2 linked regions of the Stegostoma tigrinum genome follow. Each later gene encodes a partner of the first gene's protein in a complex. Links are inferred from orthologs where the notes say so. Each region holds a gene or a part of one and is shown in the gene's direction. Other genes may lie near its edges.

Evidence for each region.
Region 2: xab2 (region 1) and ppie share a complex: the UniProt entries of both Homo sapiens proteins name them as parts of the XAB2 complex. The link is inferred for Stegostoma tigrinum from reciprocal best matches to the Homo sapiens genes XAB2 and PPIE.

Annotation. Positions count from the first base shown.
Region 1 is NC_081388.1:13,419,900-13,428,779, reverse strand, and holds the start of xab2 (pre-mRNA-splicing factor SYF1), read left to right. Parts: upstream 1-5,316; 5' UTR 5,317-5,395; coding exon 5,396-5,431; exon of another isoform or gene 5,432-5,505; intron 5,506-6,704; exon of another isoform or gene 6,705-6,963; intron 6,964-7,735; coding exon 7,736-7,884; intron 7,885-8,880. UniProt on the Homo sapiens protein: Involved in pre-mRNA splicing as component of the spliceosome. Involved in transcription-coupled repair (TCR), transcription and pre-mRNA splicing.
Region 2 is NC_081377.1:33,673,686-33,682,068, forward strand, and holds the start of ppie (peptidyl-prolyl cis-trans isomerase E), read left to right. Parts: upstream 1-5,006; 5' UTR 5,007-5,019; coding exon 5,020-5,050; intron 5,051-7,913; coding exon 7,914-8,012; intron 8,013-8,348; coding exon 8,349-8,383. UniProt on the Homo sapiens protein: Involved in pre-mRNA splicing as component of the spliceosome. Combines RNA-binding and PPIase activities.

The DNA of each region.
Region 1 (8,880 bases):
GTAAAGCATAAATGCAAGTGGGTATGGTTGCTACTTAGTGAGTAGCCTGTCACTGCACATTCTACATGACAGCAAGGACAAAAGCATCTTCAAAAAATATTCGTCCCTGAGACCATTTACATCACTCAATAAAACATATACACCAATACCAGTACTTTAGCTAACGTACTTTGGGAACATATGTTGGCAACATAGTGGTAAGAGCATTGGTGTAGTAATCCAGAACCAAGTTAATACCCTGGGGACATGGGTTCAAAATCACCACAGTTGATGGTGAAATTTTGGTTCAGTGGTTAGCACTGCTGACTCACAACACCAGTAGCCCAGGTTTGATTCCACCGTCAGGTGACTGTCTGTGTGGAGTTTGCACATTCTCCCTGTGTCTGCGTGGGTTTCCTCCGGGTGCTCCGGTTTCCTCCCACAGTCCAAAGATGTGCAGGGTAGCCTAGATTAGGGGTGTCATATGCATGGGAAACGCAGGGTTACAGGGAAAGGGTACTGGGCTGGGCCCTGGTACAATGTTCTTTGGATGGTCACTGTGGGCTTGTGGGGCCAAAGGGCCTGTTTCCACGCTGAAGGGATTCTAATAAAGATAGAGAAAATTTGGATCAGAGCTAGATGAATTAGAAGATATAGAGCTTTATAATATTCTTTAATATACGAATAATAATTTGCATAATATCCCAGCTTTTGGCTCATTTTACAATACTATGCCTACAATATTTTAGAAAAACAGAGAGCCATTGAAACCAGTGCCAGACACCATTCAGTATCAATATTATTCTTCACTCTATCCATGGCATCCACTGGCGAGATCAGATTAGAAACCTCAAAATCTTACAGCAAACCCAATGGACAAATATTGAGGCGACGCTCCTGTCAGCCCAAGAGTATTGTAATTAGTGCATGTAATTAGAATGGTGGACCATCCCATTCCAAGGCAGTTACAGTATCACATGGTGAGTCAGAGTCATACAGCACGGAAACAGACCCTTCGGTCCAAATCATCCGTGCTGACAAGATATCCCAAACTTAACTATCGTCCCATTCTCCTGCATTTGGTCCATATCCTTCTAAACCTTTCCTATTCATGGATGTATCTAAATGTCTTTTAAATATGGTATTTGTACCCACCTCTTACCACTTCCTCTGACAACTCATTTCAATCATTCCAACCCTCTGTATGAAAAGGTTGCCCCACGGGTCCTTTTTAAATCTTTCACCTCTCACTTTAAACCTATGCCCCTCTAGTTTTGGACTCCCCTCCCCTGGGGAAAAGACCTTGACTATTCACACTATCCGTGCCTCTCATGATTTTGGAAACCTCTGTAAGGTCACCCTTCAGTCTCCAGTGCTTCATGGAAAATGTTCTAGCCTATCCAGCCTCTCCTTATAAATCGACCCTTCAGTCCTGCAACATCCTTGTAAATTTTTTTCTGCGCCCTTTCTAGTTTAACAACATCCTTCCTATAGCAGAATTGTATGTAGTATTTCCATTTGTGGCCTCACTAATGTCCTGACAGCTGCAATATGACTTCCCAACTCCTATACTCAATGCACTGACCAATGAAGGCAAGCATGCCAAATGCCTTCTTCACCACCCCATGTAACTGCAACGCGACTCTCAAGGAACTACAAACCTGCGCCCCAGGTTCCTCTGTTCAACAACATTCCACAGGCCCCTATCATCAACTGTTGGACATAAAATCCTACTCTGCTTTGCCTTACCAAAATAGAACACCTTGATTTAACTAAATTAATCTCCAGCTGCTACTTCTCGGCCAATTGGCCCATCTGATCAAGATCTCATTGTACTCTTAGGTAACCTTCTTCACTATCGACCACACCACCAACTTTAGTGTCATCTTCAAATTTAGTAACTATACCTCTTAAAATTTCATCCAAATCACAAATATAAACAACAAACAGTAGACTGAGAACCTATCTTGCACGCACTGCTGGTCACAAACATCCAGTCTGAACAACAACCCTCTACATCCACTTTCTGTCTCCTACCATCAAGTCAATTTTTGTATCCAATTGGCTAACGCTCTGTGGATCCCATGTGACTTAACCTTACTAAGCAGCCTACCACACAGAACCATGTCGAATACCTCGCTAAAGTCAATGTAGACAACATCTACCGCTCTGCCTTCATCTATCTTCTTCGTGACCTCTTCAAATAACTCCATCAAGTTTGTGAGACACATTTTCTCAGGTTAACGGTCCCCTCCAGTTCAGGTTCAGCCCAGCCCTCTTGAAAAGGTCACTTCTGCCCCAGAAGAGATCCCAATCATCCAAAAATCTGAATCTCTGCCTCCTGCACCAGCTCCTCAGCCACCCAATCATCTGCCCTATCTTCCTATTCCTACTGTCACCAGCATTTGGCACCAGGAGTAATTCAGTGATTACTACCCTTGAGCTCCTGCTTTTTAACCTCCTGCCTAACTCCCTGTGTTCTCCCTGTAAAACCTCATCCCTTCCTCAACCTATGTCAATGGTACCTGTGTGTTTAATGTCTTCCGTCTGTTCACTCGCCCTTTATGAATTTTGCTGTGCCTTCTCCAACACGTCCTTGCCTCTGGCACTAACCCAAGAAAGGGTCAATGCCCTTAGATGCTGATAATAAATAAGTAAATAAAGTCATCTTTGGCTTTTAGAGTCATTGAGATGTACAGCATGGAAACAGACCCTTTGGTCCAACTCGCCCATGCCGACCAGCAATCCTAAATTAATCTAGTCCCATTTGCCAGCATTTAGCTCATATCCCTTTAAACTCTTTCTATTCACGTACCCCCATCCAAATGCCTTTTAAATGTTGCAATTGTACCAGCCTCCATCACCTCTTTTGGCAACTCATTCCGTACTGAATGAGTATGGAATGAGCTACCAATTCCAGCAGCTCATTCCATACTCATTCAGTATGGAATGAGCTGCCAAAAGAGCTCATTTAAAAGTGCAAGGTGTACTTTTAAATCTTTCACCTCTCACCTTAAACCTAAGCTGTCTAGTTTTGGACTTTCTACCCTGGGGAGAAGTCCTCGGCTATTCACTTTATCCATACCCTTCATGATTTTATCAAACTCTGTATAAGGTCACCCCTCAGTTTCTGACACTCCAAGGAAAATAGCCCCAGCCCATTCAACTCTCCCTGAAGCTCAAAACCTCCAACCCTGGCAACATCCTCCAGTTCTTTCAGTTTTTAAAATTTTAAAAAATCTTCTCTTTCAAGTTTCACATCCATCCTACAGCAGGGAGACCAAGATTGAATGCAGTGTTCCAAAAGTGGCCTAACCAATGTCCTGTGCAGCTGCAATATGACATCCCAAGTCATATATTCAATGCACCGACCAATGAAGGCAAGCATTCCAAACCTCATCACCGTTTTCATAGACATCTCAATATATGTCAGCAACGAATCTCACATTTGTTGCTTTGTTCTGGTCATTTTCTATATTAACCAGCTCAGTGATGTTTTACACACTCTGGAGCAGGAAGGGCTTGAATCTAGGCCTCCTGTATCAGGGGTAGGGATTTTACCACTGCACCACATAGACTTGCTCTAGATTGTTACCCCATAAGCAACCTATTCAGATGTGAAACCTCTTATTAAAACCTCCAGGGCAAGGTGGGTGTTGAACGCAGGTCTCCTGGCTGAAAGGAAAAGGCACTACTGCTGTACCACATGGCCACATGTCAGGTTCTTGTTCTAACCCAGAGGACTAATACAATTAATGCAATTTGTCGAACATTGTGTGTAAACCAGTTACAGTCTCCTATTTACCGTCATACCCAACAAAAACACAGTTGCTGGAAAAGCTCAGCAGGTCTGGTAGCATCTGTGAAGGAAAAAACAGAGTAACGTTTAGGGTCCAGTGACCCTTCCTCAGAACTGAGGGTGGCTGGGAAAACGTCAGTTTATATGCAGAAAATAGAGAGTGGGGTGGGGAGTAAACAATAGGATTGAGCCCAAAGAGAGAGAAAGACAGTTGGACAGACAAAGGAGTTGATTACAATCTGGCTGGGAGGGTGAATAGTTACTGACTACTAACAGGAAGTTATAACATGGCAGGCTATGTGGTAACAAGAGATAGTAGGAACTGCTGATGCTGGAGAATCTGAGATAACAAGGTACAGAACTGGATGAACACGGCAGGCCAAGCAGCATCAGAGGAGCAGGAAAACTGATGCTTCGTGTCGAGCCTCTTCTTCAGAAATGGGGAAAGGTAAGGGGATTCTGAAATAAATAGGGAGGGAGGGGGAGGCGGATAGAAGATGGATAAAAGAGAAGATAGGGTGAGAGGAGATAGACAGGTCAAAGAGGCAGGGATGGAGCCAGTAAAGATGAATGTAGGTGGGGAATCAGGGAGGGGATAGTTTGATCCAGGGAGGACGGACAGGTCAAAGAGGCGGCATGAGGTTGGTGGGTAGGGGATGGGAGTGGGGGTTTGAGGTGGGAGGAGGGGATGGGTGAGAGGAAGAACAGGTTAGGGAGGCAGGGACAAGTTTGGCTGGTTTTGGGATGCAGTGGGGGGGGGGGGGGGGTGAGATTTTGAAGCTTGTGAAGTCCACATTGATACCATTGGGCTGCAGGGTTCCCAAGCGGAAATGAGTTGCTGTTCCTGCAGCTTTCGGGTGGCATCTTTTTGGCACTGCAGGAGGCGCAGGATGGACATGTCATCTGCGGAATGGGAGGAGGCATTGAAATGGTTTGCGACTGGGAGGTGCAGTGGATTGTTGCGAACTGAGCGGAGGTGTTCTGCAAAGCGGTCTCCAAGCCTCTGCTTGGTTTCCCCAATGTAGAGGAGGCCACACCAGGTACAGCAGATGCAGTATACCACATTGGCAGATGTGCAGGTGAACAAGTGTGTGGTAACAAGGCTTGGTATGTGGGGTTGGGAAGCTGGGATATAGGACAGTTTAGGCCCTAAAATTATTGACCTGCTGAGCTTTTCCAACCACCTCTGCTTTTGTTCCAGATTTATAGCATCCCCAATCCTTTCAGTTTTTACCATCAGACCCAATAGGGGCGGTATCAACTGACAAGTCCAATCACTATCCGTGTTTCCGTGTCAATCAGTTTGTCTTGTCCAATAGAAATCGGAATATGCGTCGTCGCCCCGCGGAAATGATCCAATCAGAAACGGATTCTGCCGTGTCCAATCAACTGCCGAAACCGGTGGTATTAACAGCCCAACGTGCAGGCATCGTGAACTTATTGGTCTATATGCCTGTCGATCGACAATGTTATCCAACCACCTGCCGCTATGGGCGGGATGTTGATGACGTTCGGCATGTCCACCAATCAGAGTGGCGATAGGGTTTGCTCCCTGGGCCTTAGGTTGGGTTCGACGCCTTTTCGAAGCCTCGGCGTAGGCTGCGGCCGCGGGGCAAAATGAGCGTTTTTTTACAGAAACACGATGTTATTTTTGTAAGTGAATCGTATAACTCCGAGATGACAGCTCCGAATTCAACATTCCTTGTTCGCTGAGCTGGTCTTTGAGGGTAGGCCTCAGCTGAAGCCTCGGCCTCGATTTATTTTGTTGGTCTCCCACGGCATTAACGGCTTCTTTATCACTTCCCCTTCAGGAACCGTATGGTCCTACTTTTTCTCTCTTTTCTATGTTTTGACTTAATAAGTAAAGTCGCAGAGCAGCTGCCCCAGTTTTGTCAACCACATTGATTTCAGAGTCCCAAGTGAAAGTGAGCTTCTTTACACTGTCTCTGTGTTGCTGCTCAGTAGTTGTTGGAGCTGACAGGCAGTCATATTGCTACTGGCTGATCGGAGGTAATTTGTTCGCCCTCGAGAGAGCCGGCATGTGAAAGGAAGAATTTGAATTTATATAGTGCCTTTTTTCAGCCTCAAAATCCCTACAGTGTAGAAGCAGGCCTTTCAGCCCTCGCTGACCTTCCGGAGAGCATCCCATCCAGATACCACTCACTCATCACCACCTCCCCAGCCTCATTTTCCATGGTTAACCCACTTAGCCTGCACAACCCTGAACACTATGGGCAATGTAGTATGGCCAGTATACCCTAACCTGGACGTCTTTGGACTGTGGGAGGAAACCCACATAGACACAGGGAGAATGTGAAAACTCTACACAGACAATTGCTTGGGGGTGGAATCAAGCCCATGGAAGGGCCTAGGCCCGAAGCGTCAGCTTTCCGGCACCGATGCTGCTGCTGCTTGGCCTGCTGTATTCATCCAGCTCTACACCTTGTTATCCCATGTCACTGGCACTGTGAGGCAGCAGTGCTAACCACTGAGCCAGCCTACCAACATCTCATCCGCACTCCATGACCAATGATGTGCTTCACTCGTGTCAGATATGAAATACAGCAGCTATATGTTCTACAGCAAGCTCCCACAGATAGCAGTGTAATTATGAGCAGATCATTATGTCATGTTAGCTGACTAGGACACTGGGGAGAGATACCAGTGCTCAGAAATAGCACCATGGGATCTTTCACATTCACCTGCTAGAGCTGACAGAGCCTCAGTTTATGAATATATGAAATAGAAGCAGGAATAGGTCATTTAAATCCTCAACCTGTATGGAACGAGCTGTCAGAGGAAATGATAGAGGCGGGTACAATTACAACATTTAAAAGACGTTTGAACAGGTACATTGAAAGGAAAGGATTAGAGGTATAAGGTTTAAACGCAGTCAAATGGGGCTAGTTCAGTTTAGGACACCTGGTTGGCATGAACGCGTTGGACCAAAGGGTCTGTTTCCATGCTGTATGACTCTCTTTAAGTCTGCTCAACCATTCAGAAAGGTAATGGCAATACCAACTCCTGCTGACCCACCAGTGACCTTTTGACCTTGTGTGAACAGTGGTGGCACTGACAGCACAGCCCTCCTTCGGGACTCAGCTGGGAGCATCAGCCTTGAATATTGTGCTGAAATCCTAGACTGGGATTTGAACTCAAATGACGTGTAATCAACAATAGCTTCAGTAAGTAATACATTTGAAGGAAGCATTTTGCGACTGACAGATGATTCTTTTCCATAGTTTACACTTCAGTTCTTTAGATTGCAGTACTCAGCTTCAAGAAGATACTTCTCAAAAACTATATTTGCACTGAATGCTGAAAATTGGCCTACAAATCTTTAATTCTGTAAACCTAACTTGTCGACTTAAAAATGATTGTCAGCAGATACGACAGTTGTGGAAAAGAAACCTGAGATTTGATACCAGTTAAGTACCTTACTGCATTGGTAAACATTGTATAAACAGGGCAGCCCCAGCAAAAGATTGTCTTCAACTATCCTTTGTCAAATGTTTACAAAATTGCTGTTTGTTGCTCAAGTCAAATACTTCAGTCTTGCTGTTCGTGTTCCCAAAATACATTTGGAGTGTCAGGATTGTAAATTCTTGATATGCCATTTGGTTACAGCTTGGGCTTGGCTGTTACAAGTAACACCAAGCTGAACACAAATTGCTGCGTGAACTAATTGTATAATTCCAAGTTAAATGCTAAGTACAAAAACATTTTCTTTCTTCAGAAGTGCGTTAGAAAGTTCACAAAGAAGTTTCGAAGAACTTTTTGTAATAGATAAATTGATAGTGACAGATCAGTTTTACTTTATCAAGTTGCTGTTTGTGTTGTCAAAGGTGACATTTTACATGCTGTCAGTGCCACATTTTCCCCGAGAGTCTGATAGCTGGTGACTTGCGTGCATCCCCTGGGCTTCATTCTGTCCACTTGTTTGAATCTCTTTGACAGGAAGATGATGATCTGCCATATGAAGAAGAGATCATTCGCAATCCTTACTCTGTTAAATGCTGGATCCGCTACATAGAGTTTAAGCAGTCTGCACCCATACATGTGGTGAACATGATTTACGAGAGAGCGCTTAAAGAACTTCCTGGCAGGTATTGTTTCTTAGTGGAAGCAACAAGGTCTAGTGATTACATGGGGGCATTAGAGACTTTTGAGATCAACACCTGACAGAAGCTGAGATAACAAGGTGTAAAGCTGGATGAACACAGCAGGCCAAGCAGCATCAGAGGAGCAGGAAGGCTGATGTTTTGGGCCTAGACAAATGTCAGCCTTCCTGTTCCCCAGATGCTGCTTGGCCTGCTGTGTTCATCCAGCTTTACACCTTGTTATCTCAGATTCTCCAGCATCTGCAGTTCCTACTATCACTAACAGAAGCTAATGGTTTGTTCAAAAGATCAAAGATTAAGCATAGATCAAATTTTGTATCTTGTCTGCATCAATCACACAGTTTATGCAAAAGAATTTTGCCTTGTGATGTGTCAGTTGCTGGTGTTTTTAATAATCCTTGATAGCAGTGGTTTACATGTAACTGGAATTAACAGCTTTCGCCCACTTGGAGCTTTTGCTTCAGAGGTGTACGGTCAGCTCACTTAGTGAAGCACTTTAATGATGTGCATCTGAGGAAAACTAAATATATCAATTTTAAATTACAACAAGTTGCGTGGAGTGTAAAAGCACAGAAGCAGGCTATTCGGTTTATCAGGTCAATGGTGGTGTTTCTGCTGCTGTGTAGAAAACTCGTTCCGCAACAGAGCTTGATCAATGTGATGTCTATTCCTTTATCCAGCTTCTCCCTAAAGGTGTTGATTGTTTTCACCTCAGCTCTTCTCTGTGGCAGCAAGTTCCATATTCTGCCGAGTTTTTTGGTATTGGAGTTTCTCCTGTATTAGTCAATGGATTGATAGGTGATTGTTTCATATTTATGACCCCTAGTTTTAGACAGCTACAAGCCCTCACATGCACAATGTGGGAACTTCCTTTTCTATGTTGGCCTTATTATTGAATTGCATTGCGTTTCACCTGTTGCCAGCACATAGTTCACATGATTGTTCAAATCCGTCCTTAGCTTATTCTGTTTGAAGCCGCTA
Region 2 (8,383 bases), on another chromosome or scaffold:
TTTAATTGATAATTTTATAAATATACAATTTGTGCTTGTAACAGTCCAAAAGATAGAAAACATAGTCTTTCAAAAAGATTCCACTATAATGCCGTGCTATTACAGTGAGAGAAAAAACATGATATGTATAGAATTTTATAGAAGGAAGCCATGTAGCCCACTGTGTCTGTCCTGGCAGCAAAATAAAGTTGCAAACAACTGGTTTACTAATTGGTATTTTACTTTGGATTCAGTCAGTATTATCAATTTAAAATGATTAACATGGTTTGACCTGCAGTTACAAGTTTCAGTAATATGTGTGTTGTATGACACACAGCAATTCGGTGGTTCTGGTACATCAAAAATGCTGGTTACCTATTGCAGTTTGTGATAATTAGTCGGTATCAAATAAAAATGTATTAACTTATACTGCAACCTGTTGTGGCTTCAAACATTTCAACTATTTGACTTCTTCGCTCCAAACACTGAAGTAAAAGTCCTTCAACTTGCAGCTGATTCTTTTACAATTATTTCTAACTGACATGGGTATTTTGTATAGCAACAGTGATACATGTGGTTAGGGCGGTATCAGATTCATTTGTTGGAACGTTCCAGTTGGAGAGGAGGCAGATATTAAAATTTTACTTTTTTTTGCAGATTGCCAAGAACCAAGGATTCCACAAGTTTTGATTCAGATATATTCAGACTGGATGCGTGGATTGTGCTTAGCTTTGAGGAAAAAAAAACAAAAACATTGCAAAATTTCAAATAACCAGATCCTGAAACGTTTTAAATGTACCTTAAGAATTTAAAAGAAATATATTTTGATAAATCAAACTATAAAATTATCAAGCAGGGCACTACTTTGATTTAAAACTTGTTTTGTTTTGAAAATGGGCGTCTGTGGCCAGGATAGATTTATTTATTTTTTTCCTTCTCTTTAAAGAACAAGAAATAAAAGGTTAAAGGTATGAGAATGGAGCTAGATTTTACTTTGCAGTTGAGTTTTATCATTAAGGTGTGTTTTAATTTTTAAAACTCAAGTTTGCCTAAATCTGGAAAAGTGTGTTTCTGATTGGGGAAAGGAGAAACCAATAAAAAAACTTTCACTACAATGTGTCAGTTGTCGTCATTTGCACTGGAGGGATTTTGATATTGATGCGTATGTTTTATTTATTAGGTTTTGGCTGTATAGTAGACTATTTAAATGGGGGAATGGAACTTCAGAGATGAAGAAGAATTATTTTATATAATGATAAAGTACTGTGGCTGTCATGAGATGCTAATAATACCTTGACATGTTTGTAATTTCCCATTGAAGCAGCAGTGGATTCCAGATAAGAACTCCAGGGCCCTGTCATTGTCATCAGTAGATCTATCACTGTCACACAAGTCAACTATTTCTCCACCCTCATTTGCAATTTGGTCTGTTTCCTCCAAGCTGAAAAGAAGTTTTCTATTAAAAAAATGTTAAAAATATTTCATGGCTGTGAACTGATATTGGGGTGCTTAAGTTCAGAACTAAGTGATGGGACTTGTCCACTGATAATGGGCAAGTGTCTGCTTTGTCACAGTGGTTAAACAAAATACTATGTAAATATAATGAATCTTCTGAATGGGGAAAAAATGTTACAAACAATGTGCATCTCCTGATGATTGTTTAGAAAACATAGACTGCTGGAGTCAGAAGAGAAGATTAATTTCAGTTTGGAGGAGAAAGTATAAGACAAGCAAATGTAATGAAAATATGTCAGTTTTTTTTAAATGATCATTTCTGCTTCTCTTGAAATAAAAGATTGTGATCAAACATGGTATAACACATGTATTTGCTACATTTTTTTTGTTTCCAAAGCCCCATCTGGCTGATGTCATAGGGAAAATCTGGAAACTCTTTGACACAGATCAAACACCAATACAGCAGCGAAAGCCAGCAACTTGAATTATTGACTGCACAGATATTAACCAGAATATCATTTTAAGGCAGATTTGGCACCAGTCATCCAAATCAGCCCAATTCCTTTGACTTTAGAATTTTAACTTTTACGGTATGAATAATTGTTAAGGAAAAAACACTGAAAATATACATATGCTAGTTCTAGCATAAAGACCAATTTTCTATAACATTCAAATCAACAATTATACTTTCTAGTTTGCAACTAGTTTTAAAAAAAGTCAAACTTTTGGCAATTTTTTGCATTGTGGAGCAAATTTCCTTTAGTGACAAACAGAGAAGACAAAGTTGTCAGAGCAAATTGCTCAAGAAATTCTAAGGTGATAAAATTATTAAAATTAATTATTTAAAAAAGCTTGTCTTGAAAATGTATTGTTTTAAGTTTGACTAAATGCTTACTGATTTTAAAAGAGGAACAATTGTTAAATCTATCTTCTCTCTGGATGTTACACTGCATCTCACTATTCCAGTACAAAGATGTAACCTGGTTTCATCATCCATGAGCATAACAAGTGCATTTCACATGATCTCTGGCATTTGTCCCATGCAAATTAGTTACTGTAACTAATGGTTTTTTTTAAATTATGTGTCATAAATAGCAAAGTTAACAGGATTGTAAGCCATATGTACAAATGAAAATTGACTGTAGGGGAAATTATGAAAATATGAACCATTGAGTCCTAATGGGTTGAAACTGTGACCTACTGCACAAATCTGAAAAGGAATGGTTCAAGTTTATGAAACTGATTCTTTTCTTCATTTAGAGAACAATTGTATACAGCCAGATCTGTAAATAGTAGAATTTCCAGCATTGGGGAAATGGTAGGAGAACACTTCAATCAAATCATAAAGACATCACAAATCCATTTAAACAAATGCCTACCTTTCAGGTTTGAGATCCAGAAGAATAAACTTGATTTTTCTTACTAGTATTTTCCCCCTTGGAGATATTCTTGCTGGAATGTTGTCTCAAAGCCAGTAGATGCCACCGGATGTTTCGTCCAAGTTCTCTATTGAGCGTTCAGTATATAAATTATTCAACATTATGTCAATGCCTAGTCCTGTCCAAGCCTGTTTTCACGTATGTGCTTTTTTACAGATGATGTCACTGGGTACCTCTCCCTTCTCTGAGAGGTTGTGATGCTGGTTGTGGTTACTAATAAAATCAATCCAACAAAGATTAGTGATTGAACCTGAGACCCTCATTGTCTAGTTGGTTCAGCCTTCCAAATCACTGTTGGTAGTTCTTTGAGTAACTTGGATGTGGAAGCTAACGTACACTGGGAATATGGGGAAAAATAGGCCATTCAACACCTTCAGCCAGTTTTGCTTTTCAAGTAGATCATAGCTGACTTGGTTACATTTGCAGATGGTAACAAACTGATTGTGGCAATTAAGGGAAGTAGGCAAAAGGCATACAACTGGTGTCGTTTACGATATCCCTTTGGAAGGTGTGAAAATAGCTAAAGGTTGAGGAAATTGAAAATAAATGAGGTAATGGCCAACTTAGTGAAGGAAAAATATAGTGCAGTATTTTATTGCCAAATAAAATTAGAAATTCAAGACTGTCACTTAAGTCCTGTATTAAGTTTGGCTCATATAGAAGAGAAACATTCCAGTCATGGAACACTGCAGAAAAGAGGCCTGAAGCTGATTCTCAGTGTGGAAGGTTTTTTTTCATATGTGGGACATGGGCATCATTAGCGGGCAACATTTATTACCTGGCCCCGTTGCTCTGGAGAAGGTGGTGGTGAATTGCTGCAGTCCATCTGCTGTTAGTTGACCCATAATGTCCTTAAGAAGGGAATTCTAGAATTATGACCCGGTGACAGTTAAATAACTGTTTTTTGGAATACCAGTTAAGAAAGAAGGTGACTGAGTAGGAACTGACAGAAGGTATTTAATATTTTACAGTAAAACCAGCTCATAATGTCAAGGGAAAAAGATACTTACAGCTGGGCAACATAAGGTAAAGTAACCATAGTCCCATTCTTTCATTAGAGAAAGATGTCTGTGGTGGTTTAATTTGAGGGGAAGGACGGAGAAGAGTGGACCTTGTCACATTAGATACTGTAGGAATTGAACACAAACTGTTGGCCTCAGTTTGTATTGCAAGCTAGCCATCCAGCTAGCTGAGCTAACCAACCCTGAAAAGGCACACATAATGGTATCAAGAGGAACTGCAAACTGCAGTGGTCACCCGTTGTAACTAATCTCAGTGTAAGGTTTGAAAGTGCACAATTGTTACAATTAAGAAGGAAAGTTCATTAAAGATTTCACAGAATAAAGTGCTGAAGAATTTTTTTAAATCTTGGATGGATTAACTCTGGTGTCCAGAGTACAACCTTGTGGGAGAATCTAGAACGAGGGCTCATAATTTTAAAATAAGGGGGTGCCCATTCAAAACAGATGAGGAAAATAAATTCCTCAGAATAAGTCTCAGGAATTCCCTTTCTCAAAAAGCAGTGGATGTAGAATCTTTAAAATGTTTTAAGACAGAGGTGGACAGATGGATATGTAGGAATATATGGTTGAGGTTCAAGTCAAATCAGCTCTGACGTTATTGAATGGCAGAGCAGGGTTGTGCAGTCTACTCTTCCTTGATGACATGTAACCCCTATCTGCTTATTTAGTGGAAAAATGATCAAGTCCCATTTATAAACTAACATTTTAAGGCTCTTTGTGAGACTTTATAGAGTGAAGTCTGAACACAAATTTTCCTATATATCGTACAGAGAGCACTGTGGAATACTACAGAATATAAAGATGTTATTTCCAAAAAAGCACCTGCCCCAGGCATGTTTTGATTATCTATATGATCCCTTAGAGACAGTTTAAACATCAGGCTCTGCAAAGATACGTCTCCTATCAGCACCTACTCTATCCCACTTTAACTATTACTCCAAAATTGCTCTCATTTTCCTGTCTAGTTAATTTAGAAATTAGCTTATATTTTGTTGGGTTTTTTTTTCAATTTTCTTTTCAAGTTCGGAATTTTTTTGTTTGAAAAAGAACTTATTAAATAAACCAAACATTGAGCAAGTGTCTGGGTGAAAGGTTGGAGTTGAGAGGGGAAAGTTCAAGGGAAGATGGCGTCGACCAAGCGGGTGCTGTATGTGGGTGAGTGAGGAAGGGCCACGGCCGCTCTTCAGATTCTTTCCACAGTCAAATAACATTCTCCATGGGGTACTTGTCCGAATTTACTCAGTGCGGTGGGTCTCTAGTGCAGCAACGGGGGAAATTCCAAACCCTGCACAATTTAACAAAAAAAAACTCATCTCTGCGAGCAAGATCGCCTGTAGGTTGCTTATCGTTTGCTTTTTTAAAATCTTACCATACTCCAAAAATGTTTTTTTTTCAGTTTATCGTTTTATAGTTTATCATTTTTCAGTCTGAGAATGATTCATTCAACAATCATGTAGAATTGTACAGAATACGGGCTGTTTTGATTACTGTGTCCTTTTAACATATTGATGAAAGACGAAGCATCATTCTGCCGTAATTACACATAATTTGCTGTCGTTGTTATAATGGTTATCCATTTATAACTATTTGTAACCTGAGACATGGTGCTATGATGACTAGTCCTTGGGCCAGTGATTTCAAAACTCTTCCACTGTGACTCAATTTCGAGGCTTGTAAACTGTCACCATTCTTCAAAGAGACCTTTGAGAGTTGTTGGGAGAAGTTAGATACCTGTGGGCATTGTTGCTTGTTAGATCTGGAGCACAGTCGTTTGGGATTACACAGCAGCAATTATAGCCTTGGAACTTGCAACCCCCTTCTGGCCTGATCCCTTTTGGGAAGCGCTGCCTTTAGATGATGGTCTTTATTTTAAGATCAGATTACTGTTGAACCTGCAATGTCATGTACTGACTTAATAGACTGTCTAGTCACATGAAGGAACTCCTGATTCAGTCATTGTGGCAACAGTTGGACCTTGTTTGATCTGTGGGTAGACTTTTTCATTCTTATTGTAATACATATCTATAAAAACACACTTGGAAATAAATCTACAGTGTGTTGTGCTTTTAAAAAAAAATTTGGATCTTTAATAGTTAGATGTCCCATAGCTCAGCCTAGAAGTGTGTAAACATATTTTGCTGTAGAATGGTGGAATGCGGGTTTGTGCCTCAAGTTGAATATTTAATCTCAGATGTGTCATGTGAAAAGAAGCATAATGGGAAATTAAGGTATCTCCATGATGGAAGGAACATTTGGAGACTGATTTTCCTTAATAATCATTCACAATTGCAGGTTAGATAGGTGCTTTACCATTAATTAGCAAATGGTTTTGAAAGGAAATTGGATCAACTTGAAGGAAATAAACTCGCCAGGCTGCAGGGGAGTGGGATTGACTGTTTTGCTCAAAGGAGAGCTAGCAGAAACTTAGATAGCAGCCGTAAATGACTCTGGCAATGGGACGGGCAAAAACTTCTGGTTGTATGACGTTCTACAACTACATCTGGACAAGAAGTAATGAAGTCTCCATTCAATAGAGGCCAAAAAGATGGCCAGTGGATTGCACTAAGTCTGTTCAAATCTGATCTCTTAAAGTTGCTGCAAATTAGAATTAACATTTATTATAGTATCATTTTATAAATCAAAGTTCTTTATATTTAAAAATCAAGGGCAGTCCATATGTAGCTTATTTCTTAAAAGGTTTCTTAATCAGTTGCTGAGCTCTTTGATAGACAAGTAGATGTGCTTTGTTCTAAACACAGTTTTTGTTTGGAAGGATCAATTTAATCCTTTTTTCATTTGCATTGTATGTTGTTCAGTTTATTTTTCAAGATTTCTTTTGGAGGAGATGAATACTATGGGCAACATACTATGTTGAAGCTTAAAAGGCCTGAAACACCAGCTTTCCTGCTCCTCTGATGCTGCTTGGCCTGTTGTGTTCATGCAGCTCTACACCTTGTTATCTCAGTTCTTTGTAATTTACAATGTGACTGAAAGTTTTAAAAACATGAGAAATTATCCTTTGACCACATTGTTTTAAAAAATATAGCATTTTAAATTCTTGTTGACTGAATGTTGAGCATTCAAATTCATTTAAAAATATCATCATAAGACATTTTTGTGTTATTGTTTATGTGATGATGTATCAGGCAATCACTCATTTCAGCACCAGTGGAGATTTGATACTGTTCCTTGTGTTGGGGCAAAATTTTTGAACATACATAATTGTGTGTTTCCAAGAAACACAGGAAAAAGCCAGGTATCTCCATCTTTTGGGTGCTATATGCTGCAATTAGGGAAGGAGGCCTTAATACTGGATAACATATTTTATATACTCTGTGTATAGTTTCACTTTATTAGTCTTGCCCTACTTAAAGTCAAGTATTTTATACTCTAAAACTAATAGTAAAATACTGGTGGATAAACTTGACTTCTATAAAAAGGAATTTTTGTGGACAGTGTGATTGAGAGAAGTCACAGGCAGTCAGAGAAGGATGGTTAAGGTGACTGAAGTTGCGGAGAATAAAGAATCATTCAATGCAAATCAATCCAAGTGAAATGCAAAGACTGTGAGGATGGAAGGGAGATGAGTTTGATAGAGAGGGTGAGATGAGTTTGATAGAGAGGATGTGGGTCCTGTTATGTTCTGTGGTTAAGGTATTTCTAGCTAAAGAAAAACACCTACAAAACTGCAAGATGCTTGTCATCAAATGAATGCAGCCAGTCAGACTTGTGATTGAATTAAGTAGGTTTTCCATTGTTTGAATTGTTTTTAATTCTGTTATGACATCTGGTGTAGCTGCCATTTGTTACCCATCCCTAATTGCCTTTCAGAAGGCTGTGGTGAGCTGACACCTTGAGTTGCTGCTATCCATAAGGTGTAGCTACACCCACAGTATCCGTTAGGGAGGGAGTTCCAAATTTTTTGGCTCAGTGACAAGGTATTTTGTGGTCAATGTTGTGGTGTTCTCACAGAAAATCTTGTTATATTTAATGTATATTTTGTGTTTATCACCTGTAGGTGGTCTTGCTGAAGAAGTAGATGAGAAAGTGCTTCATGCAGCTTTCATTCCATTTGGTGATATCATGGACATTCAAATTCCACTGGATTATGAAACTGGTAAATATTTCACTTAAAATTCCTCCAACGTATTGAACCAGATTCAGAATACTTGTAAACTGAGAAAAAATATTGAGTTTTTATGACATAAAAATCTCTCTCAAAATTTTTATGCTGAAAATTGTCTGTAAATATCTTCCTTTAAAAACGAAAGGTTGAGATTTAACACTTAAGAGTTGGTACCAAACCATACAGTGTGATGTTCCAGATACAGTGAAAGCTACTTCTCTGTAACAACAATTGAAGCTTAATGTTTCTATGTACGTAACTCCAAAACGTTGATTATGAAATAGCCAAAAATCTAAATTCTTTATTGACAACTTTCTATTCAAACAGAAAAACACAGAGGTTTTGCATTCATTGAATTTGAA